Linked DNA regions of Neurospora crassa OR74A. The main gene of each other region encodes a partner of the protein of the gene in region 6 in a complex. Links are inferred from orthologs where the notes say so. Each region holds a gene or a part of one and is shown on either strand. Other genes may lie near its edges. The genes, in order: NCU06749, NCU07852, NCU00952, NCU02804, NCU05714, NCU07560 and NCU08299.

Region 1 (3,471 bases), on a different chromosome or scaffold from region 6:
TGACGAGATCTACTTCAAGGCGCAGATTCCGTGGATCTCGGGCGAGATGAACCAGCTGCACGGCCGCATCGACATCAAGTTCAATGTCAAGGGCACCAAGCGCACGGGCGTGATGCGCTTCGCCAGCTTCCGGCCCACGCCCCGAGGCATGTTCGAGACGACCGAGTGGAGTCTGGAGACGGAGGACGGCAAGGTCATTGACCTGCTGGAGGAGGGCGATCCGTTCAGAGCTATCAACGGCCGTGCGATGGAACCTGAGCTGGATGATGATGCAGAGGATGCGAAGGTCAGGGGTTTCAGGCAGATGCCCAAGTAATTGTTTTGGGGTGCTCTTAAGGAGGGAATAGTTTTGAAAAAAGGGAGGATATATATGGGAACCGGGGAAGGTGGTGGTCCCCCTCTCCCCCTCTCAAACAGGATGAGCTGAAGGACAGGATCGTGGTCTGGCTCTCTGATTGAATACCCGAAGGCTGTCAAGGAGGAATATGTGTAAGATATAGGGAGAGAACATACGAACCTATCACGGGCAAGGGTTGTATGTTCAAGTTGTTATACATTTTCGGTAGCTGTACATTTTAACACCCCACGATGCGTGTGTATCATACAAGAGAGAACTAAAAAAAATGAGAAACCGGGAAGGCTTTACCATACATTCCCTTCCATAAACCTAGTACAAACACATACTACAGACCAGAGACAGCCCCCCTCTCTTAAGCCGAAGCTTCTACCGCAGCATTTCCATCCGCCTTCTCTGTCAGCCCATTCTTGATGAGCGAATCTATCAGGCCCTGTCTCCTCGCCTCCTTGAGCTCCAAGTGCAACTTCCTCGCCGCCTGCAACTTCTCCTCCGCATCAGGGAACCGCTCGTTGAGGAGCTGCTTGGTGGCCTCGACAAACTCCTCCGGGGGAGGAGCCTTCTTGACAGCATCCTGAACCTTGACAACCGCACCCTTGTGACCAGCGACCGCGCCCTTGACCACCACGATGCCGAGCTCGTTGTCCACCATCAGAATGGGCAGGTTCTGGACCGTGTGCTGCTGCGCGCCCATGCGACCGGGCATCTTCTTGCCGGGCAACACACGCGAACCGGAGCCCTGCGAACCACCGACGGAACCAATGGTACGGTGGTTCAGCGAGTTACCGTGCGACGCCTCCTGACCGGCGAAGCCGTGACGCTTCATACCACCGGCAAAACCCATACCGCGCGTGATGCCGCGCACGTCCACCACCTGGCCGACGTGGAACCAGTCCGGAAACAGCTGGACGCCGACCGGCAACAAGCCGTCCTGGTTGCGCACCTTGAACTCGGCGAGCGTCTGCTTGGGCGGGATGCCCTTGGCCTCGTAGTAGCCGAGCTGCGGGGCGCCCACGTTTTCGGCGCGGCGCTCGCCCAGGCCAACCTGGACGGCCCAGTAGCCGTTCTTGGCGCGCGTCTTGTTGGCGACGACTTGGACCCGGTCGAGCTGCAGAACGGTGCAGGGGATGCGGGCGCCGGTGCGGCCCATGAAGACGGTCATGCCCTTCTTGACAGCGAGCACGCCGGTGCGCAGGGGTGTAGTCTTCTCGCGGCGCTTGAGGGCAGCGGCCGGGCCCGAGGTGGGCGCCGGAAGACCCTGCGTCACTTGGTTGAATCGTGTGGGCCTGCTGCGCTTCGGGAGCGTGCTCCAGCCGTACTTGACGCCGCGCTTTGTGATCTGAGGGAGGAGGGAGGGAAAGACAGTCGATGGCGAGGAGGCGGAGAAGGTGGGTGTGGTCCGGCCGGCGAGGAGGAGGGAGCTGGCGGCGGCGGTGGTTGTGGTGTGGGTGGCTGACCTCTCGACGAGGGAGAGCTGCCTCCAGCAGCGCGCGGGCAGCCGGGGCGCCATCGTGTATGTGTATAAGTCTGAGGGGAGGGTTGGGTGGTGTTGTGTTGCTTTTGGTGGGGTTGGTCGCAGTCAATTGGACCTGACGGTGTTCGTTGTATCGATGTCGGGGCCCCGGAGCGTCGAGTGGGGGGAATGGAAAGGACACCGGCTGTCTTCGAGACGCGAACCGGAGGGGGCGGAGTTGGGAGGTCGTTTCGGCGCGCGGCCGTTGAGGTGGTTTTGGGGCGGGTGCGGGAGTGGTGGTCGCCGGCTCGAAGCACGGAGCAGCAGAAATTTGATAGCCACTCAGAAATTCAGTAACGGGATGCTCCCCCCCCGATAACGTCGATCGGTTCGGCATCCGGGGATTCACAATTGACAGGGGAGGGGCGGCTATTCACAGGCGGGTACTATGTATTTGGCGGATTGTGGTGTACAGAGTGTGACATCTCTACAAGAAGGGTTAGGGTTAATTGCTTCTTTCTATTCACTTAGGTAGTTTTACTTCCGCTGGAGTGCGGGCGCATTTTACCGCATTGGATCCCCCAAACTCAACCGCTAAAACATCTTCACTCGAACCACCACCACACAGCCCCAGAGAAGAAATCGCGTTTTTGCATCTTGGTTTCCCTTCTTGCACGAAGTGTCTTTTTCATTGTCGCCGTTTTGAGATACCCAATATTCCCATCTTTCATTTCTTCCAAAGGCATCAGCAACCATGGTCTTCTATTTCACTTCGACCGTCGTCAGTCCCCCGGCTTTCATTTATGTGGGGAAAGACAAGTTTGAGAGTACGTGAAGATGATCATCAGCCACAATTGGTGGTATTCTGCATCTCCTTGTGGAATATGCATATATCTTGACACACTCATGGACATTGCATATTTGACTTGGATATAGATGTCAGCTCGTCACTCATCTAACATGCTATTTTATAGACGAGGAGTTGATCCAACACGGCTGGGAGGAGGATGTATGGTAAGTTTCACCCCGGCCAAGCCTAGTTCGGCATTTTCTAACTATTCTTCGTAGGGTATGACTCCCCATGAGGTTCTCGTCATATTATGCTCTGTTTCTCATTACTAGGCCCTACTTAGTTCCATGTCGACAAACTTTCCAGTGCTCATATCTACCTCCGTCTCCCAGAGGGTTGGACATGGGAGAACATTCCCGAGGAGCTCCTGACCGACCTTGGTCAGTTGACCAAGGCCAACTCCATCGAGGGTAAGTTGCTGCTTTTGAATTCTACTGTCAGGAAGTCATGGGGGAATTCGTGAGGACTAACTCTGTGCTTTTGTAAAGGTAACAAGAAGGACAACATCACAATCATCTATACCCCATGGGCCAATCTCAAGAAGGACGGCAGCATGGCGGTCGGCCAGGTCAGCTTCAAGGATCAGAAGAAGGTGAAGCGCATTTTGATCGCGCAGCGCGAAAATGCTATCGTCAACCGTCTGAACAAGACCAAGGTTGAGAAGCACCCGGACCTGCGAGAGGAGAAGGAGCAGCATCTCAAAGAGCTGCGCAAGAAGGATCAGGCGGCGGTGCTGGCGCGGAAGAAGGAGGAGGATCGCCTGAAGAAGGAGCGGGCCGAGAAGAAGTGGCAGAAGGATCATGCCTACGATGA
Region 2 (3,615 bases), about 3.2 Mb from region 6:
GCCGTCAGCGTAGCAGTGCCGGACCACACCGGGCCGGCCGACTCGACACCCCGCGCAAGATCGCCGAACTCGCGGATCGTAGCGCGGTAAGTACCCGGCGCGATGCCGCGCAGCGTGAGGTCGACGAGCGTGGTCGAGTTGTTCACCTGCACCATGCGCGCCAGGCCGCGGACCATGCGGTCCGAGGCTCCCGGGGCGGGCGTGATCTTGTCTAGGGTGGGCTTGTGGTAAGTCTCGAGGATGCTGACGGCCGCGCCTTGAGAGTCGCCGGAACCGCGCAGGATGGCGTCACGGCCCGTGGACTGGATGGCGTTGACGATGGCGGAAGGCGCGGCCGTGCCTTCTATCGTGAGCAGCTGGTCCTTCAGGTTGGCCTCCACTTTGTTGATTCCGGGGAGCTTGTAGAGTGCACCGGAGACGTCGTTCACGCAGCTTTCGCAGTGCATGGGCACGGCGAAGAGAGTCTGTGAAATGAGTTAGTATGATGTGCCTCTGGAAGTATGTCAAGGTGAGTCAGATATGTGAGACAGGCTTGGACCCTTTATCTAAAGAAAAGGAAGGGCTTGGACCGAAGCTCATATGTAGGCATATATGAAAATGAGGCTGTAAAAGGGTATAAACAAACCTTGAAGGGGGTTGTGATGGAAGCCATGTTGCCGGCTATCTTCGGGATTGATGATTTGGGAGCAGCCGGGGATGACTGTGACTGAAAATAGTTCCTATGTTGTTGGCGTTGTTGCCAAAGGTATGCGCCTCCAAAACCTGCTAAAGCTAGACTAGAAATACTTAGGATTTGTCTGGCCGTGTACGGTGGCATCGGTTTCAGGCACTAAGAGGTAGCAAAGACAATACTGAGGACAGTATAGAAGTGGTGGTGTGAGAAGCAACACCAACGTGAGACGATGGATTTGTATAGAAGGCGATGGAGGAGAGCCCCACGTTCGGCGAAGGAGGGGACGACTAGGTACAATTAATAACGTTTTGGCTCCAGTCTACGGATGCTTAAGAGACGGGGTAAATGCGACTCTTGTGCTGAGATTCCTCATTGTTTCTCGACAAGAGAGTGCATGAAGTCACCTCACTGGAGTGCGAAATGTCGTTTTCCCATCTTCACTGTAAGACGGCAGGAAGGTAGATGTCGGCCTGCCAAAATGTTGATTTCAAAGCGACGGCACCTTTCTGGGACCACTTTTTGCGGGCGACCAACTGGGGCTCCGCTGTGTCCGGCTCCTCGATCGGCCCAAGCCAGGGCAATCCTGCTCCCCGAAAGCGTGTGATATGTACCGGGAAAGGAAGTGCAGGCTTTGGTACATGGGACATCAGTAAAAGAGAGCTCTAAGTGCGCCGAGTTGGTGTTTGTTAGTGCTTTCCTCAATTACACACTAAGACTTGCGGACCACCGTAGCCACCCCGCCAACCGCCAGCGGGCCGTCGTGCCCCAATCGTACGTGGAAATTTTCCGGCAAGAAAAGTGATTGCAGCTTTTGGGCTTGGCAGGCTCTGCTGCTGCCCTTCTGCAGGAGCTCCATTCTGCTTCCCGTGATACCGGACCACATTTGATACCCGTTCGCCGCGACAAGCCCCGGACTTTCTCGCGCCTGCCGAACCCGCCGTCTCGAACACTCCGGAGCCCGCCCGATCCCGTGTCATTCAATTGACCCGGACGATAACACATAGAGGTTCACTTACCACCAGTCGATGAGGGACTCGTTCCCACTGGTTTTCATACCTGCCTTCTCCACCTTAATCCTCTCTTGAACACCATAGTATACGACCTACATCACCACCGCGCAACACCGTCAACATGTCGCAAACAGTCGGAGCTGTAAGTTTCTTCCTGTTCGGACACAACTGTCCCATAATTTCGTCGTGTTTCTTACAATTTTGGCACTTGCTCGCCCTCCCGCCACCACCACCACCACCTCCACCACCCGTCACTAACCACCGCCGTCTTGCGACGAACGTGTAGACCCGACTAGCCTACTCCCGTGTCTGGCACCACATCTCCGCCGTCACCCCTCACCCCACCCTCTCGACCATCAAGGCTCCTTCCGAGGCCATCACTCCCCCTTCTCTCGGTCGCCTCGCCTCGCGCATTGCCACCATCCTGATGGGCAAGCACAAGCCGATCTGGGATCCCTCCACCGACTGCGGCGACTACGTCGTGGTGACCAACTGCGCGGGTTTGTACACGACGGGCCACAAGAAGTGGCGCAAGACGTACTACCGCCACAACACCCGGCCCGGTTCGCTACAGGCCATCACCATGGATGCGCTGATGGAGAAGCACGGCGGCGCCGAGGTGCTGCGCAAGGCCGTCAGCGGCATGCTTCCCAAGAACAGGCTGCGCGACAAGAGACTGGCGAGGCTCAAGGCGTTTGAGGGTGATGCGCACCCGTACAAGGAGAACTTGGTGCGATTTGGCGGTAAGGTGGTGGGCGCTCCAGGTTGGGAGGAGGCTGTCAAGGCTATCCGGGAGGCGGACATGGAGAGGTTATGAGCGACCATGGCTTTGAGGTGTGAAGGTCTGGTTGAAGGCGCTGGAGCTGGCTATCTACTCATGGAAGAGTGTCAGAGAAACGGGAGAGAAAGAGATGTAGGGACGAATCTACATCGAGCCGTTACGAACCATCTAGCCGACGAAGACTGAGAACTCTGTCAACTGTGAGGAAGATTGTGTGGACAACCACCTCGTTGGGGCGAGAAATCTCTCTCGTGTGTTCTTGTGTCTGTTACAGCCCACTTGGCCGTGTGATTCACGGGCAATGCCGCCAGTGTCAGTCTGTATATTACATGGGAAGCCGGTTCATGAGCCCAGCGCGCAACGGACAGTGTACGAACTTGGGTTAGAAAAAGGGGGCCTCTCATTGTACAAATATATCACTCAACAAGATACCATGATTACGACTCATGAGAGCTGTTTAGACTCATTGATTGTTTGATCTGATAAGCGATGAGCAGATCCTCATGTCCAACACGCTGAAGGCCCGCGAAGGCAAAAAGTCAGCCTCACCGATTTCACGGCATATTTTTTCACTTGGTAATTCGAGAGTGCAGCTAGCAGTGCTTTTCGGATGCTTGCTTGTTCATAATAGGAAGTTTATTTGATTACCCCTGAAAATTAGCGCCAGTCAAGATGTCCATAGCCTCCGTCTCATGATGATCCGTTGCATCAAGGTATCATCATCTTTCCACCTTCAAAACGTACGCCTGCCCGCCAACCAACCCCTCGGAACGTGAGGGGGAATGCAAAAAAAAAGAAGAAAAAAAAATGGTGATATCATAAAAGAAAGCCAAAGAAACATGTGTGACGTTTTAAAAACAAAGTTCAACAGTCTTACGAGCGAGAGACCTCGCATTTGATGAGACCGTTGGGACCAGACTGGGGAGCGTACACCTCGGCGTCCTTGCCGGTGTTCTGGAGGCCCTTGTGCCAACTGAGATCTGTTTTTTTTTTTTGGGTGTTAGTGTAAATTTATCTGGACCTATTTTTTTTTTTTTTGGTGGATTTGCGAAAGGGGTACTCACCAACTTCAAAGTAGTGCTTGTTGGGTAGCGAATAGTTGGTCTTCTCCGTCTCGGGTACCGCATCCAAGATCTGCTCGCACATCTTGT
Region 3 (2,995 bases), on a different chromosome or scaffold from region 6:
TCATCACCGGCAAGACTGCCCCTGGCGGTGTCTCCACCACCAACGTCACTGTCCAGCACTCCAGCAGCCGTGTTGCCCCTGACCAGCTTCCTCCCCTCCCTCCCAACGAGAATCTCCCCCCTGCCCCTATCGATAGCTCCATCGACAAGTGGTTCTTCATCAGCGGTGCTTCCGCTTAGAGAGTTCGTTTGTTGAGGTAGAATAAAGATAATTTATTGGCACTTTGTTGTATTGGTCAATTCGTCGTGAACAATCCTCCATGGTGTTACCCTCATGCGTTGTTTTGCGTAGAGTCGAACGTCTTTGCAACAAGGTATGCGCGGTCAGAGATTGGCCATTTCTGAGGCTGTAGTCCATGCCGTGGGATAGGGACTTGTCGAGGAGATGCTCGACATTCTTGCGCCATGAGTTTCGCCGTTGAAATATACCGATACCGTTGATGAATTCCCCATCGAAGGAAACACGGTCGCCAAAACAAAAACAAAAAAAAAAAAAAAGGCCGATCTCAACTTTGACTTTGTCAAAATGGGCGTACCGTGATGTGTGTGAATCAATCCATGGCAGAGGTGCTATATACGCATGTCTATAACAACAGGTACCCAAACTGCCTTGCCAACTGAAAATCGCCGGCCCCTTAACGCCTCCCAATGCTGTTGGTGTACACTTACAACCTCTTGCCCAATACAAATACAGGTTCATATCTTTTGTTGTTGTTTTCTTCTTTTTGGCTGGTAAGGCGATCTTACAGATCTCTCAGAGAGGTCGTCAGGTATCCGGCTCCAAGCTCGCTGGCTTTACCCAGGTGATTCGAATGTGCCTTTAGATATCCAGACTTTTCCTCTTCTCCTCCCGGTCAATCGTCATTTTGGTACCACGGACCAAAGCCAAGTAGTCTGGGTATCAAGACAAGATGGGCTTTCGTCGCTCTTCCCGTGGCTTTTCCCTCCTTTTTCCTAGTCTCAGTCTCCCTCGTTTTACCCGCAAAGTTCGATTGGTGGATCAAAACACAACAAGGGCGTCTCGAGATTGCTGGGTTTTGAAGAAGAAAAGAAAGACAGAGATTCGGTTAACCGTCGTTCAAGTCGGCCTGCTTCTGAAGGATACGAGAGTGGCGATCCACCTCCTCGACAATGCTTTTGATGCCCATGTTCTCAACGTCGAGGTTCATTTCCTTGCCGTCCTCTGTTTTTTTTCAAATACGTTAGACTACGGCTTGATTCACAGCTAACGACTCTTGATTGCCTTCCAGCCGGAATGATCCAAATTGCAACAACCAACTGCAACGGCGGTCCGTCGATGTGTGACAGAGTTGCAAGTGACAAGAAGAGAGACATTGGGAAAACGTACTGAACTTGACGTAGAGCAAAGGAGTCTCGGTGGAATTCCGCGGCAGAAGCTGGGTGGTGATGTTCATGCCATTGGAGCGGGCGTTGGGAGGGAGGAAGGAGAGGAAGAGCCGGGCGGCCTTGGCCTTGGCCGAGAAAGGGTTGAAGCGCGTTGATACGTCGGTGATGAAGCGGGTGAGCATGTTGGGCGAGGTCTCTCGGGTGGTGGTGGTGGTGACCTGAGGTCGTGTTGGGGTTGGGTTCGGGGAGGAAGAAGAAGAAGAAGAAGAAGCAGGAGGAACGCGGAGGCCTGACTGCGACTTTGCGAATTTGCGACGACGGGACTGCACTGCACACCGGACGGGGACGGATACGGAGACGCGGGAGACGGGAGACGGGTCTCTGTGGAGGATCGGACGGGGTACGTAGCTTGTGTGTCGCGATTTGGACTTCGATTCGGTCTTCGTGCCTGGCGCCGGCCGGCAGCGTGGAGGAGGGATGCGATCAAAAATTACTGGAGGTACGTACCGATTGCGCCGGGGACCGGGAGGGGTGTTTTTTGTAAAACGGAGAATGCGGGACGGCGCGTGCTACGTGTGAGAGATGGGCTGTGATTGGTTGGGAGCCAACTGGGATCAAACGGTGTCAGGCTCGATTTTGCATTCATATTTACACTACATCAGATCAATTGACATAATACATCTTTTTAATCTTCTGAACGGGAAGAGAATCACTTCTGGCCTTCTATTACATTGTGTTAGTCTGTAGCCCTGAGTGTGTAAGTTTGTGCTTTGTTCCTTCAGCGCAACAGTACGTACTCCCATTTGCCCCAGCGAGTTGTAACTTGAACTCCGTTACCGAATTCCGCATGTGATCCGTTTTCATTGACCTTGAGGATGACGTTGCAAGAGCCACGCCCACCGAGAACTTCCATTGAACATCGCTACAGTGCTCTCCTTTCAGGCCAGGTTTCCACTAATTATCAACAACAGCACAGCTGCTGATCAACACCAGGTACCTAAGTGGGATCCGACTACGATCCATGGAAACCATTTGTTACACATCCACCTTTTTCCAACACATATCTATCTACCTTTACCGAGTCAACTCCCTACGAATGCAATACCGACATAATACAACAAGTCACTAATGTCAACATTCGAAACGCTTCAAGAGCGGCTCACGGCCCTCCAAGAGACGACCGGCCAGCTTAAGGACCTCATCGAGCGTCTCGCCACGCTCAAATTCGAGCCCGGTTCCGTTCCTTTGAGCAACAGCATCAGCAGTCTCGCGAACACTGGCGCCGATGGAACCACCAACAGTGAGGCCGCTGACTTGAGCGCCGAAATCAGCCAGGTCTTGCGCGAGGAGGAGGAGGATTTGGAGTTGCTGCAGGAGGAGATTATCGACTTGCGCTCCGGCCGCCCAGGGAGTGAGGCGGAACATCAAAAGACGAGGTTAAAGGAGGGCGCGCAACGCTTGGCTGCCGAGCTTAAGGGGTGAGTTTTGTTTCTCATCTTTTCAGCCTGGATGGTGATGACGATGATGAAGATGAAGATAAACAACGTACCTAACAAAATTGCGTCTCAAAAAAATACAGCTGTCGAACCTCCTTCCGCAAAGCCCAACTCGCGGCGCGCCGCAACCTTGAAACCGCCCAGCGCCTCGAG
Region 4 (2,966 bases), on a different chromosome or scaffold from region 6:
AGGCTTGTTTGATCGAGGCGGGGGTGAGGTCGGAGGTGGTGGGTGAGAGGGAGAGGATTTCGTAGAAGGTTGGTTGGGACATCTTGGATGTGTTGGTGGTTTTGCGGTTTGGTGTTCAATGTGGTGTTTGGTAGTGCGGCCCCGGGTATAAAATGGTATGGTTGTGAGACCGGTTTGGTGTTGAAATGTATCGACGTGTAAGTGGTGAAAGGTTGGTGGTTTGCGTCGAGCAGCTTTCGAGAGAAAAGTTTGTATCCCGCAATCACGTGTCTCTTTGCGCTCGCTGCCCTTGTTATGTTGCTGTATACAGTAGGAAATGTGAATAGGCAAAAAAAAGAGGATGTGTGATGTGTCGGTTCTCACGTGGTGGTTTGAGTCTTAGTTGTGTGCCTGGTATCGTGAAGTGAGTTGTTCAGAGAAACAAATTCGGGGGGGAAATTTTACTGCACCGTTAGACACATTACCTCGTCTCGGCCTCCAACCACAGTGGGGAACTCCGTCTTATAAGACGCCAGAGGACGTTCAGTCAACAACCGGGAAACAGAACCACATTGATGGCAATCCCCTTCCAAATGGCTTGAAATTTGTTGTACATTGTTGGTGATGATACAGTCTATGGACATGGCAGTGACTCTCGTTGTAATCTTCCCGACAAGCGACAACAACCGATCGCTTATTTGGGGAACTTGGTCCAGTTCCTCTTGCCGACCTGTAGCGAAGCCCATGGTTAACAAGAGTGCAAACCGCAAGAGTTTGGGCGCAATCCTTACCTTTTTCCATTCCCGGATAAGGTCGGGCATAGCCAGCATGGCCTCTCTCCTCTTCTCCATCCTGTGTGCGAAATCCACCGTCAGCAAACCACCACTTCCTCCCAACCAGCAGCAGCAGCAGCAGCAGCAGCCGAGGATCGACAACGTACTTGGCAACCAGTGTCCTTTCGTGCTTGTGACCCTTGACCTTCTCTCCAACACCGGTACCCTTGACACGGAGACCGAGCTCGACTCTCTTCCGTAGCTTCTCCTCGTTGAGCTTGCGGGTGAAGGGCAGCAGCTCCTCGACGCCGTGTTCCTGGGCCAGCTTGACGAGCTCGGCCTGTCGCCTGAGCGAGTACTTGGGGTTGTGCCACTTTCCGGTGATTGGGTGCTTGGTGGGCATGAACGGGTTCGGGCTCTCCTCCTGGTAGGGCGTCTTGTGCGTCTCGGGGTCGGCGCCGGCGGGCAGGATCGAGGCCGGCGGGTACCGGGCCAAGAAGGTGCGCAACCGCGGTGGGAGCGAAAGCGCCAGCTGGACGTGCTGCTTCACCGTGGCCGCCATGGTGAAGATGTCGATCGACCGGCCTGCTGGCGGTACTGTGTCGGTCGAGGTGGGGGGGGGGGTTGTTTGTTTGTTTGTTTTTGTCGTAGGTGACAGGGTCCGGATTGCTCGAACGAACCGGAACGGGGAACTTTGCGATCAATCGGCCGCCGACGGGACCCCAACTGCGAAAAAGTTCCAGGTCGCGAAACGGTACATAGCGACAGCCGGAAGTTACACTTTGAGCCCTAACCCGACCTCTTTAACCCCCCGCGTAAGGCGGGGCATGTGGAGACCCTTGAACAGGCACGACAGGGATCACCGACCTTGAACCGTGACATAACTTTTGGGCGGGTCGAGAACTGTGCTGCACCGCTGCTGCACCCCAGAACCACCCAAGTTCGCCATAACAACAACCCCATTCCGGAACCCAGCACTGCTTGGAAATCAACACGTTTATTGTCAACACTGTCGCCTCCGACCAGTCTCTTCCTTCGATTCATCACCAACTCCATACACTACCACGATGAGCACGACATCAAGACGGGAACCCCCAGACCTGGCAGCACTGCTGCGCAAGAAGAAGGAGGAAGAAGCCGCCGCCGCGAAACCAAGATTCATCCCCAAAAAGGAACGAGAGAGGCTAGAAGCCGAGAAAAAGGCAAAGGAAGAAGAGGAACGCAAGCGCAAGGAAGAAGCCAAGCCTCAACCAAATGGAACAAATCATAACGGCAACCGCATGGACGGTATCCAGAGTCATCACAACCACAACCCTCAACGAAACATCCCAACCGGACCCAAGGCGATGCGGTACGACGATGACCGGGGACCCAACGGCATGAGCAACGGTCGGGACTACAGAGACAATCGCGACAACAGAGATAACCGAGACAGAAACCAACGGGGCGCAAAACGCGGCGCACCCAACGATGACGAAGAGAAGCGAGCCAAGATGGAGAGGAACGACGAGGCAGAGCTGCGCGCCCGCTACATGGGTCCAGTAGTAAATCAGTCCACATTCTCGGCCAAGAAGAAGAGGAGGAGGACGGCAGCGAACAAGTTCAACTTTGACTGGGATGCCGATGACGACACTAGCCGACCCTTCGACCCCATCTACGCAGAGCGTCAAGAGCCTCTGGTCCGACTTGGTGGTTACGAGATGACGGAAGAGATGGTGATGCGGAAGGCCGAAGCCATCCGTCGTGGCGATCCCGAGACGGGCGAGGAGCGCGCCAGGCAATACCTGGAACAACACAGACGGATCAAGGAGATGGAACAGCGCAAGAACCTGGGCAAGCACTGGTCCGAGAAGAAGCTGGAGGACATGAAGGAGCGCGATTGGCGTATCTTCAAGGAAAACTTTGGCATTGCCACCAAGGGCGGTGCCATTCCCAACCCTATGCGCAGTTGGGAAGAGTCCACGCTGCCTAGGCGTCTGCTCGACATTGTCAAGAACGTGGGTTACGACGAGCCGACGCCGATTCAGAGAGCTGCCATTCCCATTGCCCTTCAAGCACGCGACTTGATCGGTGTGGCCGTGACGGGTTCCGGTAAAACTGCAGCTTTCTTGCTGCCTCTGCTGGTTTACATCTCCGAACTACCACCCCTGACCGAGTACAACAAGAACGACGGTCCATATGCCCTGATTCTGGCGCCAACAAGAGAACTGGTGC
Region 5 (3,458 bases), about 3.8 Mb from region 6:
AGCCAGAAGAAGAAGAAGAAGAAAAAGAAGAAAATGAAACACAGAAATGAAGAAAAAAGTTGAAGCAGGTCGTGATGTTGACAACGACAAAGTTTGGTCTCTCCCGCTCGAGGAAAGAAAAGTCAAGATGCATCAATGATGACGCCGCGGCGGGCAGAGTGGGTGGAGGGCACGCGCCGACTCCAAAGCTGACACAATCCCGTTCGGGAGGGCTGCATACAGTGGCTTCAGTGGACGGTTCCCGCTGTGGAAGCTGGGCATGGTGATTAGGGGCATTAGACTGGTCCGTGCATACTCCACTTTCTTTAAGCCGAAGGTATCGAAAGTCACCCGTGTAATTACCGTAATTACAAGACATATGGTCGGCATATGGTTGACATATGTCAATATTAACGATTCACATTCACATGCGGGGGCCTCTCACCGGCCCCCTGCACCCCCGGAGCTAACCCTAACCCTAACTAACCCTAACTAACCCTAACTAACCCTAACACTAATTGGTAATTTGCAGAGAAGTCGGGTATTGACGGCTGTTTTCGGACGTAATTACAAGCTGGTATGGAGAAGGTACCAAAAGCGACCTGGCACGTGATCAGACCCATATTTTCTAATGCCCCCATTCACCGTCCCCGTGGAAGCTGCCCTGGAAGGAATGGCCGGGGACCGCCCAGGACCGGGACTTGACCGGGGTCAGCTTGCGGGATTGACATGTCACTGGCCAATGGCTGTTCTTCCGACTGCCAGGTACGGGACAGCAAGTCTTCGAGATCCGTCGTTTGGACCATGTCAACACGCAGCCAAGTGATATTTACTTTATAAAGCCCATCTTCGAACTACGATGGATCGCAAAAGCAGGAACACGTCAATCAAGGGAGTTTCATGATTCACCTGCGTTGTCAGCAAGTGGAGTGCTGGCCGCATGTGGGAATCCACTCCCGTAGGTGAGACCTGTATGATGTACAAGGACCCAAATAGAACTGATCCGAGGAGCAAGACGCTGGACTGACAATACGCGGATGATAATAATACAACACAAAGCACAGAGCCATGAACGGGCCCAGTACCTATCATACAACAACGAGGAAGAGCGCAACAACGAGTCTCGGAAAAACCGCCATCCCAGGCAATGTTCGTGTTCATTAGAAGAGCTTCTCCGACGCCACATCCCCGGTCTTGCTGGCCTTGACCTTGTCGGCCCTGACCACCTTGACCTTCTCGCCGCCCGTCGGTACCTTGAAGTACAAACTGGGCGACTCGCCAGGCGCAAGCTGGTGGCTGAGGTAGCCCCTATGCGCCGGGTCTCTGTAGTACTCAATATCCCAACGGCTGGTCGGGTCCGGCAGGCGGTAGTACTTCTTCTTGAGCGATCGCGCCTGCGCCAGGATCTCCTCCACGTGCTCCTTGCCCACCGGCAGCGGCTTGTCGGTATGAAGAGACTTGCCCTCTACCAGACGCTTGAGCGATTCCTTGGTGTAGAATCGGGTGACGATCTTGCCGCCGGCAGCCTCGATGGCCTCAATGGCGGAGGCGGACGCGCGCGATACGGTGATGGTGACGGGGATCTTGAAGCTCTCCTTGCCGCGGCCGAGAAGCTTGATGCCGTCCTTGATGCTGCTGCCAATGATGCCGGACTTGATGATCTCCTTGGGGGTAATGGGCTTCGTGGGGTCGATACGGCCGGCTTCGATCCATTCCTGAAGCTTTTCGAGGTTAAGCTCGGACATGTCGGCAGCGAACCTATGAAAGACACAAATGGTTAGTCTCCATCATGTATCTGGTAGGTATAGGTTATCGGATAGCATGCTGGAGAGTTCTTGGCCATGGCGCATAGCAAGCGAGGTAGGGAAGTCGGGACGGCATACTGGTTAACGAAACCCTTGCGGCCGTGAGAGACGATCAAGGGCGTCTGACCACCCTGGAACCATGGCTTAACATGACCGTGGGCCTTCTGACCCTTGGTACCGCGACCGGCAGTCTTGCCATAGCCGGACGAAGGACCGCGACCCTTGCGAATGCGCTTGTGGTAGGCGCCCCGGTTGTCGGACAGGCTGGCGAGGATGGATGCGCTCCTGGTCTGGACGGAGAGGGCAGCAAAGAGCGAAATGAGGGACGACGTCGGCGACGAGGCTGGGACCGAAGGGCGGGCTGTGAGGGAGGCCTGGCAGCATCGCGCCGCCTGGGCGAGCGGTAACCTGGGAGGCATGACGGAGGCGGAGGACACGGGAGTGGGTTGGGTCTGGGTCGGGCAGTCTTCCGGATTCCGTTCCTCACGGCAACGGCACTTCCCCGAAAACAAAAGTTCAGGACCCGCGCCCAGCCAAATTCCGACACCTGCGTCGCGGGGGTGGACCGTGCGCCCTCGTTGGTCTCGGTCAATTGCGAATGGGCGGCTGAGTCAGCAGCTGGTCCACATCCGACGTCCTTCGCCAAGGGACCGTGATGCTCCAAAATATCCATGTTCGATATCACTTACACGGGATATGCAAGAACATGTCAAAGGTTCAGTGCGGTGAAAGTCCCTAAGAGTGATTGTACCGCGGCTTAACAGGCTGAAGAACATCTGGTGCGAGTTTAGGGAATTTTTCCACCCAGTCGGAATGATCATAAATTGAGTGTCCCGAGGCCATTGGAGGTGCGTTGAGAAAATATTGTGCAAGTACAACTGTGGGATGCTTAAAGTATTGCCTTTGAGAGCAACGCAAAACAGGCAGCCAAGAGCAGCTCATACTAGAAACCTATTATAGATGGGTCTCAACTGCGACCTACGCTAGAATTACACAGAAGTCCTGAAGTAGGGCGTGTCGAAGGGGGTTCTGTGTCAGCCATGAGCCAATCGAGCTGGTGGGGTTCGGGAGTGTTGAGAATGGCATGAGTGACATACACGCTGGAATTGCCTGAATGTTACTTTGATTTACTGAAGGTGTTTGTATGGCTGATAGAAAGAATGTAATTGTTAAGCCTTCTTTGCTGTCGGATAACGTTTACTGCAGAACAGAGCAAGGGACAGCGTGCAGTCATTTCGCGGGATAAACATAACCGATCGTGATGGAACTTTCCAAGTCAAGCAGAGAAGCGCCGCTCCGAAATGGCTTTTCACTCAAGTCTGTCTGAATTTCAAGCATGGAATGTCAGTCCCAAGCCCAAACCACGCGCCAGGTACCTGCCACCGCTCCTGCCACCGGCAATCGGTCGGCACGCCCTTCACCGACGGGAACATCGGATGACAAGATCCCTTCCCGCCCAGGCCGCAAACCTCTAGTACCCTCTGCTGTAGCCTACAGGTATTATATAAGGTCGGGTTCCCTAACTGATCTCTCTGGCATAACGGAACTCTGTGATCTTTTGGCACAGTGGTTCCCGTTGATGAAAATGTGTGGCTTTTTCGTAGGTCTGCAGTTGGGGTATTGTCGTTCGTTCTACAAACTTACCTGGGCGACCGAGCTTTTTGCTCTTCATGT
Region 6 (3,934 bases):
CGGCATTGCGCAAGGTGTGCTGAACAAGTCGGTTGATAACGTGATGACTGCTCATTCTATTCTTGTTCATCTTTTTTTGATATTCCACTAACTTGTCCATCCATTCTGATACGTAGCCTAGTAAAGATTTGGAAAGCTTGTCCGAACGCTAGCAAGGAGGCAGGTCTGATAATTCTATGAGATGAAGCACGCATATGTATATCGTGATCAGCGACATGGATGGTGGAAATGAATATTCTGAGCTGGGCAGTATGTGCATTGCGGCGTAGCTGAGACTTCAGTAGATGTGGCCGTGCTTGATCGCGACATTGACCGGAGTGACGACAAGCAAGTGTCGGGGATGGAGAACGATCCATGAATGATCTCAGGAAGGTTCATATCCAAAGTCAAGGAATGAATCGACAGGACACCAAGCAGCCAGACAAGACGCGTGCCACAAAAACGAGGCTTGAGAAATTCGAGACGGGGAAGCATTTCACGAAGTGGCAAGAATAACACTTTCAAAGAAACCAGCCCCATCTTGACTTTCATCTAGCGAAGTCTCCTCACACGTAGTGTACATGCCATGGAGAAGGAGACTGACTGACCAGACTGACTGGGCCAAGCTCATTTCTCAGAAAGAGCAAACACACACACACACACACAAGACAGTCTGCAGTATTATTACATACATACAATGCAAAACCGTCACGAGAGTTCGCAGGAGAAAAATATGTAAGCAGATTCTATCTAACAGCAACCCGGTAGAGCGTTTATAGGCAGGTACCGCTAGCGAATTCGTCTGCTCATGGTGGTTCCTCTCGGCACGGACTAAATGATCAGGACAGTTTTGGAGGAAGAGAAACGTCGTGATGATAAGGAATGGTGCCTTGAAGAAAGAAAAAAAAGAAGAAGAAGAAGGAAGAAGAGAAGGGGAGGGGGGATTGGTGGCAGTTTTATTGCAGCAGTTCAGTTCAAAAGTTTGCTGGACCCGCTTCGGTCAGGTGAGTGGTCATGTGGGGTCGTAGGAGCCGTGAACCTAACTGAGGACGTGAAAGTTATGGTGGGGTAGGTAGCGGGGGGGATTGGTTTTGGAGAAGAAAAAGGGAAGCTTTCGAAAAGGGAAGGCGGTGAAGGAAAGTAAATCGGTTGCCAAGACTCAATTGTTCAATCGCGACCAGGAACGAAACGAGCAGGGAGGGGACCTGACTGATCGGTGCGCGGCGGCAGCGCGGCAGGCGGGAGGGCCCCAGGGAAAGAGTGGGGCTGCGGACATCGAAAAAGTTCACGGCCGGTTTCCCGCGCTGTGTGTCGCCCGTCCGTCCGCTCTGCCCTGCCTGCCTGCCCGCCCGCCCGCCCGCCGCAGCGACCGACCGACCGACCCCGTCCCGCATCCACCCCGAGACTTGCGAGAGAGAGAGAGAGAGTTGCGTTGAGGATTGGCGCGCGCGCAAGATTCACCCGTCCTCCCTCCCTCTCCCCGTCCCGTGTCCCGTTGTCTACACACCCGGGCCCCGTTCAACAACCAAGTCATATATACTGCCCATCATGTCGGCGTCGAGTAGGGGAGCTGCTCTCCTTAGGAGTATGGACCACTTTTTCTTTATCTTCTTTTCGTATCGTCAACTCGTTACGAATTGGTGTTTTCCATGCATGGCTTCCGATCGCAAACTTTAAGCTTAAAGACACCATAACTAACCCGTCGCAATCTGTTCTTTCTCTTCCTTCCAGGCCAACAACGGTCCATCTGCCTACAATGCCGCAACCAAACCCGAGTACTTGCGCCCGCCGGCGTCACCAGCGCACCTAGACGTTTCTACTCCGCCGAGGCCTCTGCCACTGCCACTGCCACTGCCACTGCCACGACCACAACAACACTACCCCCTCCTCACCCGCCCGTCACCACATCAACAGGCACCCACGCCGCCACCTCGACCTCGTCGCAAATCTACCGCATCAAGTCGGGCGTGATCCTGACCCGCCCCCCGCTGCTGACGCGCGACCTCACCCCCTTTGAAGAATCCTTTTACTTTTACCAGAAGCGCCTCAACGAGCGGCTGACGGCCCCCTTCCGCAAGGACTTTTACTTCAAGAAGGACACGGCCGCCGACCTGGACTGGCGCATCAAGCTGAAGGAGCGCCACGGCGTGCCCGCCAAGGACATTGGTCGGTACAACCCGCGCGGCCGGATGGCGTGGAACGACGAGGTGCTGGTGGGGTCGCAGACGTCGTCGAGAAAGCACATGGTGGAGAAATTGCTTGCCGACGCGGAGATGCGCGTGTCGGAGGATGGCGAGGAGATCCCCGCCGAGGACCGGGTCCCCGTCGAGAAGCCGATGCCGAGACGGACGGAGGCGGATGAGAAAGGGGATGTCAAGCGGTTGGATCGCGCGCTGGACAAGACGCTTTATCTGGTAGTCAAAAAGAAGGCGGACAAGGAAGGCGAGGAGGCCAAGTGGATGTTCCCTACGGGCGTGGTGCCTACGGATGAGGGGTTGCATGAGGTTCGTTATATTCCCTTTTTCCCCAACCCAACTTCCAACCATTTTCCAAAACTCGCGGCCAACTAACCTTTGATGATGACGATAAACAGACCGCAGCCCGCATCCTCGCCGAGTCCGCAGGCGTCAACATGAACACGTGGATCGTCGGCCGCGTGCCCGTAGCCCACCACGTCGTCCGCCCCGTCTTCGGCCAGAAGGACGGCGCCCTGCTCAAGAAGGGCGAGAAGATCTTCTTCCTCAAGGGCCGCATCATGGCCGGCCAGGCCGACCTGACCGACAACCTGCATGATCTGGTCGACTTCAAGTGGCTCACGCAGGAGGAGCTGCGCAGCACGTTGGCGGAGGAGTACTTCCACAGCGTCAAGGGCATGTTTGCTGAGAGGTGAACAACACAACACAACAACACCCTATGTAGCCTGGTCTGGTGAAGTGAAGTATGGAAGAACAAGGTTGGAGAGGTGATGATGAGTCGATGGTCGAAGTCGGTGAGACTACACCATTATCTTCCGGGGAAATAGAATGGGGAAGTGCAGTGGGTGGCGGAAGAAGAAGAAGAGAGAAGCATGTGTACAAATGTATTGATATCAAAAGATGGTTTTAGTCGGTCGGTGGCAAGGTACAATTGTTGTTTATGCGCTGAGTAGACCTGGACCGCCCCCTAGCCGAACACAATCAAAGGTCTCGAGGAAGAGAATCAGAGATGGTTTGGAACTTGACTTGACAGTTCAAAGGCCTCGCACGCCTCAGCGTACTTGACCAGGCCGAAGCCAAGCTCGCATGCCATGTCTGCAAGAAGCGGGCGAAGGCTGACATGAAGCACAGGGACGAGAGAGGGTGTTGTTTGTAATGTAAAAACATATGCTGTGTATAGAGATTTGGGATGAAGATGTCATACAGGATGCGAGATGGTTGGTGAATACTACCAGACATCCGCTGGGTTGGTCATACCGCTATCTGAGGTGAAGTCTGATACTAACATACACAAACAAGACAGACTGAGCTAATCACATATCTGTGACCCGATTCTGCATTAGAGACGTGGATAGGTATGGCAGTGACCTCTTCAAGATCCAGCCTTGATCAATGATGAACACCGGTTCTCCCGGCTTGAGACACACAGTCAAAGCTTGTGCCAGCCGCAGACCAAAGCAACGGTACTTTTGAGCTGGTTGAAAGTCCACACCACGGCGGCCTGTAGGATATCTTCACACGTCTCCTACGCCTCCATCAGGACATCCTCCTTGATCATCCATATAAGGCCGTTGGCTTACACCTCTAGCTGGGACACTTCTCGCGCGCGTACCAGTGGTGTACTCCTCCATTCCTCGTACATCATTAACAAATTACTTGTTGGCATTACCACACCACACACAAGTCAAGTCTCAAATCTCCACCCATCTGAAAAGCAATCTGAATAACACACAAATCGTGCCCAAAGCCCACACAAAAAG
Region 7 (4,140 bases), on a different chromosome or scaffold from region 6:
ATAGAGGTAGTTTCCTCTATAATCCATTACAGAACTGATCCACATCAAAGTTAGCTTTATTCACGACGTAGCCAGGCTCTGGAGCACCAACGCAAGACGGCCAGCGGAGGGTAACCGACGTTGAATGTATTCCGAATATTGCATTACTACCACCAACCGGCCGGCCTCAACCAAGCCAAGATGTCCTGTTATTCCATCAAGCCTTTGGAAGCCATGTACTGTATGACCAAACGGCCGGGGTGGCAGGGCCTATGCCCAAATTTACTTTTTCTCCTGTGTCGTCCCGTTCTCCTTTTGCGCCCGCTCATACTCGATAATCTGTCTGCTCCAGCTAGTGGAGGTAATATCGGTTGCGTCAGCTTAAGAACATCCCCGCGGTCTGCGCTCGCGGAAAACGTTACGCATGTATAAAAATTTGGATGGGGGTCTGTCTGCCAGGACATACTATCTGCTGGGATAAAAGCGACCAGGCTCGGGCATCTTGTGACGGTACTCTTTCTCGGCGCTAAGCTTCCAGACTGCGGCAGTGATGAGGAAGACGACGCCACCGAGAACAGCCGTGTTCTTCTTCCAGTTGGCCGGCTGGGCGTACCAACCACCCGAAGGCGACCAGACGTGTTTGGGGTAGCTGGAGTGAAGGGCGAGGCAACGATTAGGACGGATCCATGACACAACGCAGGCTGGGTTGGACAGAATGCGCGGAGGGTTTGCGCATGTCGAGGGCGATGAAACTCACGGAACTTGGGGACCGCCGCCCTATAGACAGGAAAAATAGAGAGTTAGCAGACACAAAACATAGTAGTGATGATGGCTATTCTAAGCAATCGGGTGGATACGCACCATTGTGATGAAGTTTTGGGATATGTGGTGAGGTAGGTTGGACGTTCAACGAGGAATGATTCTTTCCACCTCGCAGTTAAGCAAGATCGGTTTGTACTGTCAACTTTGCGATGCACTGCGAACGACGGCACAATAGTGGTGATGCTTCAGCGGGAACAATTGGATAGAAGGACGAATGATGAATCCGCCTACAGGCTGACGAGGGGCTAAATCGCATCAACCATCCAGGCCTGAAAGTCACCATGTCACTCGTCCTAACTGGGGCCGAGGGCGCATGCGACAGACGGGCGGCGGGCGGCGGGCGGGCAGCTCCCGCTTGTCCACCACAGTGCACCGTATGCTAAACAGACAGCGCAGATAGTGGATTGGGGTCGAAGATGGATCTTGTGGGGACCCTCACTGGGCCAACAACGAATCATGTCAGCCGGCTTTTATGTCTCGGTCTTGGGGGAGTAACCCCTGCGCTTGAGCACTGATTCACGGCTCTGGGTGGTGGGCTTGTCTAGTGTACGGGTGGTGAGCGTTCAGATTGGAGAACTTTTTTTTTCTACCCGTGTTCGACGGCCGGCCGAGTCTGAACGAGAACCCATCCGATCAACGCGCGACTCCGACCGGGATCCCGAGTAGCTTCCCACCCCGCGACCACCGGCTCACCACCTGCCCGTCCGATTTCCCTCACTCCATCCTTTTCTTGGCAGGGCCTCCAGACGGCGCACACTTACGGAACCTGGGCCCCAGCACGTCAACACCCGGTTGTCGAGCCGACCATCACCCATCAAATATATCGCCCATGAAGAGGATAGCAACGCCCAGCTTGACGAGCCGGCTGCTCGTCGCCGCTCGCTCCGGAGTGTCGCCCGCCACTGCCGCCATCCGATCCCGATCTGCAATCTCGGTGCGATCGCAATCGACAGCTGCCCTCGCTCAGCACGATGCATCCCACGATCTCAACAATGATCGGTTCCCCCCGCTTGAGCCCCTCCCCCCCGCGGCCGAGTCCCTACCGTCGCCCCTCCCCGAACGGGCCTTGACCTCGGCCAAACTGGCCGCCCTCCACGCCCGTTTGAATCTTTCTCCCAAGATCCCCTTACAGACATTGGCAAGGACACTGGTCGACGCCTCGGCCGACGAGAACCCGCAGTTCAACAACGCCAACCTCGCCTTCGTTGGCCAGACCCTCATCAACTACCATATTGCCGAATGGCTCCTCTGCAAATACCCCCGTCTACCCCAGGGAATTCTCTTCAGTGCCATGAAGGCTTATGCCGGACCGAAGCCCTTGCTCCAGATTGCGCGGTCATGGGGTGTTGATACCGCCGCGGTGCCCGGCGGCGAGGTGGATCCCGGTCTTCTGCAGTTCGATGCCCTTAAGCCCGGCGTCGCCATCACAAATTTCGGCTACAAGCGTACAGAGCTCGCCTACCTCGAGAAGTTCAAGTGGCGTCGCGGTATGGCCTCGCGTGTCGTTCTCGACGACGACTTTGGTGATGTCGTGCGCAGCGACCCCAAGGTTGCCGCCGATCTGGAGAAGGCGATGGAAGAGCAGGATCAGGACAAGACTCCCGACGAGGAGGAGGCCGAGATGGTCGCTAATGAGCAGGACCAGGACGTGAGCTACGACCGCTACGGCAACCCCGACACCCGGGCCGCTGCTGAGCGGGCCCACGCCTACTTTGTGCGCGCCGTCGTCGGTGCCATCTACGCCCACTGCGGCCGCGAGGCCGCCAAGGCCTTTGTCAAGGCGCACATCATGTCGCGCACCCTCGACATTGCCAAGCTCTTCGAATTCAAGTACCCCACCCGCGAGCTCGCCGCGCTCTGCGCCCGTGAGGATTTCGAGCCCCCCGTGGCTCGTCTCCTCTCCGAGACGGGTCGCCAGTCGCGCACCCCCGTTTTTGTTGTCGGTATATACAGCGGCAGCGACAAGCTCGGCGAGGGCGCCGCCTCCTCTCTCGACCACGCCCGCTTCAAGGCCGCCATGAACGCCCTGAAGGCTTGGTATCTCTACAGCCCTGGCGAGAACCCTCGGGTACCCAGTGATATGCTGGAGGAGGGTGCCAAGCCCTGGACGCCAGCATACATTGATATGGGTGAGGTTATCTCCCGCTAAATGAGGAGGCTGAAACACGGAGCATGGCGGCGGACAGTACGGCAGGGCAGTAGAGAACTTAGGAAGTGTATGAAACGAAAGGTAAAAAGAGAGTCGCAGATGGCCTGCTTACACTCTCGGTTTTATTGGTTGTGCGGCCCATCAACTCGGGATAGGTTCCCCTTGTGGAAATCGACGCAAGAGGATCGAGAGGGAAACAAAACAACGAGTGGATTTTGTTGGTGTGGTCTAAAAGCTCAGCTTACCTTTCCACTCTTGTCCTGTCCTGTTGAGAGCGGGCAATTTCCGTCCTGCGAAGGAAGGGGATATTAAATGGATGGTCCTCTCCCATCCAGTCACTCCCTTTCCTTCCATTGTTTCTTGCTCTTTTTGCCAAAGACGAGATGTTGTATACAGATTTGCGCGCAACGGACATACATGTACACACACGCACACCCCCGCCACATATACCAATACAAAGGGGGGTTGGGACGGAACGGGGAATGAAGAGGGTCTGGATGGTGGCTGCTTGGCTCTGCTTTCGACAAAGAGAGACACAACCCTCGTCGGGGTGGCATCTGTGTCCTTCTTTCTCAGTGTATAATACCAAAAAAGTAGCCGAGGCCAGGGAGAAGGAAGATCATCGTCTGTATGTGTAGCATTAAGAAGTCAAATTTTTTACGAGGCATCAACGAAGTACATGACATGATAAATCCTTCCTCTACGTATTGACTGCTCTGGCATGAGGAGAAGGCTGTGTAAGAGAGAATATGGTACTACGCAATTTACACGCATTGTACAATTCCAGGATGTGTAAGCCCTTGTTTTGTATAACAAGCATCGTAAAGGAAGAAATGGGAATACGCAACCGGCAAGAGTAAAAGACCGGACGACGAGATCGAGCCTGGAAGTTCCTCCCAAGCTTGCGCGCCTTCCATTCATCCAAACTAGAGGTTGTTTAGTATCTATTTTGCCTTGTGCTTTCTTCACATTGCTCTTGTTTATCTTATACGTGAGAGGAAGATGAAGTTGGTGAGAGGGGAGATGAAATGTGGACTGTTCTCTCTGTAGTTGCGTCCTCACTTTCTCACCCCCTCCTGGTACTTTGTCACGACGTTTCCAAAAACACGTTCATCAGAACTTGCGACCTGATGCAAAGGGATCAATGAAGGAGACTTTGACAACTATAGAATTGGCATATTGTTAAGGTA

What was found.
Region 1: NCU07560 (region 6) and NCU06749 share a complex: the UniProt entries of both Saccharomyces cerevisiae proteins name them as parts of the mitochondrial large ribosomal subunit. The link is inferred for Neurospora crassa OR74A from reciprocal best matches to the Saccharomyces cerevisiae genes MRPL17 and MRPL9.
Region 2: NCU07560 (region 6) and NCU07852 share a complex: the UniProt entries of both Saccharomyces cerevisiae proteins name them as parts of the mitochondrial large ribosomal subunit. The link is inferred for Neurospora crassa OR74A from reciprocal best matches to the Saccharomyces cerevisiae genes MRPL17 and MRPL23.
Region 3: NCU07560 (region 6) and NCU00952 share a complex: the UniProt entries of both Saccharomyces cerevisiae proteins name them as parts of the mitochondrial large ribosomal subunit. The link is inferred for Neurospora crassa OR74A from reciprocal best matches to the Saccharomyces cerevisiae genes MRPL17 and MRPL44.
Region 4: NCU07560 (region 6) and NCU02804 share a complex: the UniProt entries of both Saccharomyces cerevisiae proteins name them as parts of the mitochondrial large ribosomal subunit. The link is inferred for Neurospora crassa OR74A from reciprocal best matches to the Saccharomyces cerevisiae genes MRPL17 and MRPL25.
Region 5: NCU07560 (region 6) and NCU05714 share a complex: the UniProt entries of both Saccharomyces cerevisiae proteins name them as parts of the mitochondrial large ribosomal subunit. The link is inferred for Neurospora crassa OR74A from reciprocal best matches to the Saccharomyces cerevisiae genes MRPL17 and MRPL10.
Region 7: NCU07560 (region 6) and NCU08299 share a complex: the UniProt entries of both Saccharomyces cerevisiae proteins name them as parts of the mitochondrial large ribosomal subunit. The link is inferred for Neurospora crassa OR74A from reciprocal best matches to the Saccharomyces cerevisiae genes MRPL17 and MRPL3.

What each region holds. Positions count from the first base shown.
Region 1 is NC_026502.1:2,066,201-2,069,671, reverse strand, and holds NCU06749 (mitochondrial 54S ribosomal protein YmL9), read right to left. Parts: upstream 2,209-3,471; 5' UTR 1,866-2,208; coding exon 711-1,865; 3' UTR 501-710; downstream 1-500. Other genes in the region: NCU06748 (hypothetical protein), read left to right, coding at 1-316; NCU06750 (coiled-coil domain-containing protein 25), read left to right, coding at 2,563-2,635, 2,783-2,822, 2,965-3,068, 3,147-3,471. UniProt on the Saccharomyces cerevisiae protein: Component of the mitochondrial ribosome (mitoribosome), a dedicated translation machinery responsible for the synthesis of mitochondrial genome-encoded proteins, including at least some of the essential transmembrane subunits of the mitochondrial respiratory chain.
Region 2 is NC_026503.1:1,107,705-1,111,319, forward strand, and holds NCU07852 (mitochondrial 54S ribosomal protein YmL23), read left to right. Parts: upstream 1-1,476; 5' UTR 1,477-1,804; coding exon 1,805-1,825; intron 1,826-1,969; coding exon 1,970-2,500; 3' UTR 2,501-3,115; downstream 3,116-3,615. Other genes in the region: NCU07851 (superoxide dismutase 1 copper chaperone), read right to left, coding at 1-464, 626-817; NCU07853 (uricase), read right to left, coding at 3,338-3,444, 3,529-3,615. UniProt on the Saccharomyces cerevisiae protein: Component of the mitochondrial ribosome (mitoribosome), a dedicated translation machinery responsible for the synthesis of mitochondrial genome-encoded proteins, including at least some of the essential transmembrane subunits of the mitochondrial respiratory chain.
Region 3 is NC_026501.1:6,595,531-6,598,525, reverse strand, and holds NCU00952 (mitochondrial 54S ribosomal protein YmL44), read right to left. Parts: upstream 1,823-2,995; 5' UTR 1,529-1,822; coding exon 1,348-1,528; intron 1,183-1,347; coding exon 1,067-1,182; 3' UTR 501-1,066; downstream 1-500. Other genes in the region: NCU00951 (inorganic pyrophosphatase), read left to right, coding at 1-179; NCU00953 (hypothetical protein), read left to right, coding at 2,475-2,824, 2,926-2,995. UniProt on the Saccharomyces cerevisiae protein: Component of the mitochondrial ribosome (mitoribosome), a dedicated translation machinery responsible for the synthesis of mitochondrial genome-encoded proteins, including at least some of the essential transmembrane subunits of the mitochondrial respiratory chain.
Region 4 is NC_026501.1:9,064,477-9,067,442, forward strand, and holds NCU02804 (mitochondrial 60S ribosomal protein L25), read right to left. Parts: upstream 1,507-2,966; 5' UTR 1,315-1,506; coding exon 920-1,314; intron 832-919; coding exon 771-831; intron 710-770; coding exon 674-709; 3' UTR 501-673; downstream 1-500. Other genes in the region: NCU02805 (diphthamide biosynthesis protein 4), read right to left, coding at 1-82; NCU02803 (pre-mRNA-splicing ATP-dependent RNA helicase prp-28), read left to right, coding at 1,820-2,966. UniProt on the Saccharomyces cerevisiae protein: Component of the mitochondrial ribosome (mitoribosome), a dedicated translation machinery responsible for the synthesis of mitochondrial genome-encoded proteins, including at least some of the essential transmembrane subunits of the mitochondrial respiratory chain.
Region 5 is NC_026503.1:604,608-608,065, reverse strand, and holds NCU05714 (mitochondrial 54S ribosomal protein YmL10/YmL18), read right to left. Parts: upstream 2,329-3,458; 5' UTR 2,204-2,328; coding exon 1,863-2,203; intron 1,738-1,862; coding exon 1,140-1,737; 3' UTR 501-1,139; downstream 1-500. UniProt on the Saccharomyces cerevisiae protein: Component of the mitochondrial ribosome (mitoribosome), a dedicated translation machinery responsible for the synthesis of mitochondrial genome-encoded proteins, including at least some of the essential transmembrane subunits of the mitochondrial respiratory chain.
Region 6 is NC_026503.1:4,356,846-4,360,779, forward strand, and holds NCU07560 (50S ribosomal subunit L30), read left to right. Parts: upstream 1-1,180; 5' UTR 1,181-1,527; coding exon 1,528-1,564; intron 1,565-1,710; coding exon 1,711-2,483; intron 2,484-2,572; coding exon 2,573-2,869; 3' UTR 2,870-3,434; downstream 3,435-3,934. Other genes in the region: NCU16690 (hypothetical protein), read right to left, coding at 208-531. UniProt on the Saccharomyces cerevisiae protein: Component of the mitochondrial ribosome (mitoribosome), a dedicated translation machinery responsible for the synthesis of mitochondrial genome-encoded proteins, including at least some of the essential transmembrane subunits of the mitochondrial respiratory chain.
Region 7 is NC_026504.1:2,488,264-2,492,403, forward strand, and holds NCU08299 (mitochondrial 54S ribosomal protein YmL3), read left to right. Parts: upstream 1-1,340; 5' UTR 1,341-1,630; coding exon 1,631-2,950; 3' UTR 2,951-3,729; downstream 3,730-4,140. Other genes in the region: NCU08300 (uncharacterized protein), read right to left, coding at 262-331, 446-628, 737-756, 841-843. UniProt on the Saccharomyces cerevisiae protein: Component of the mitochondrial ribosome (mitoribosome), a dedicated translation machinery responsible for the synthesis of mitochondrial genome-encoded proteins, including at least some of the essential transmembrane subunits of the mitochondrial respiratory chain.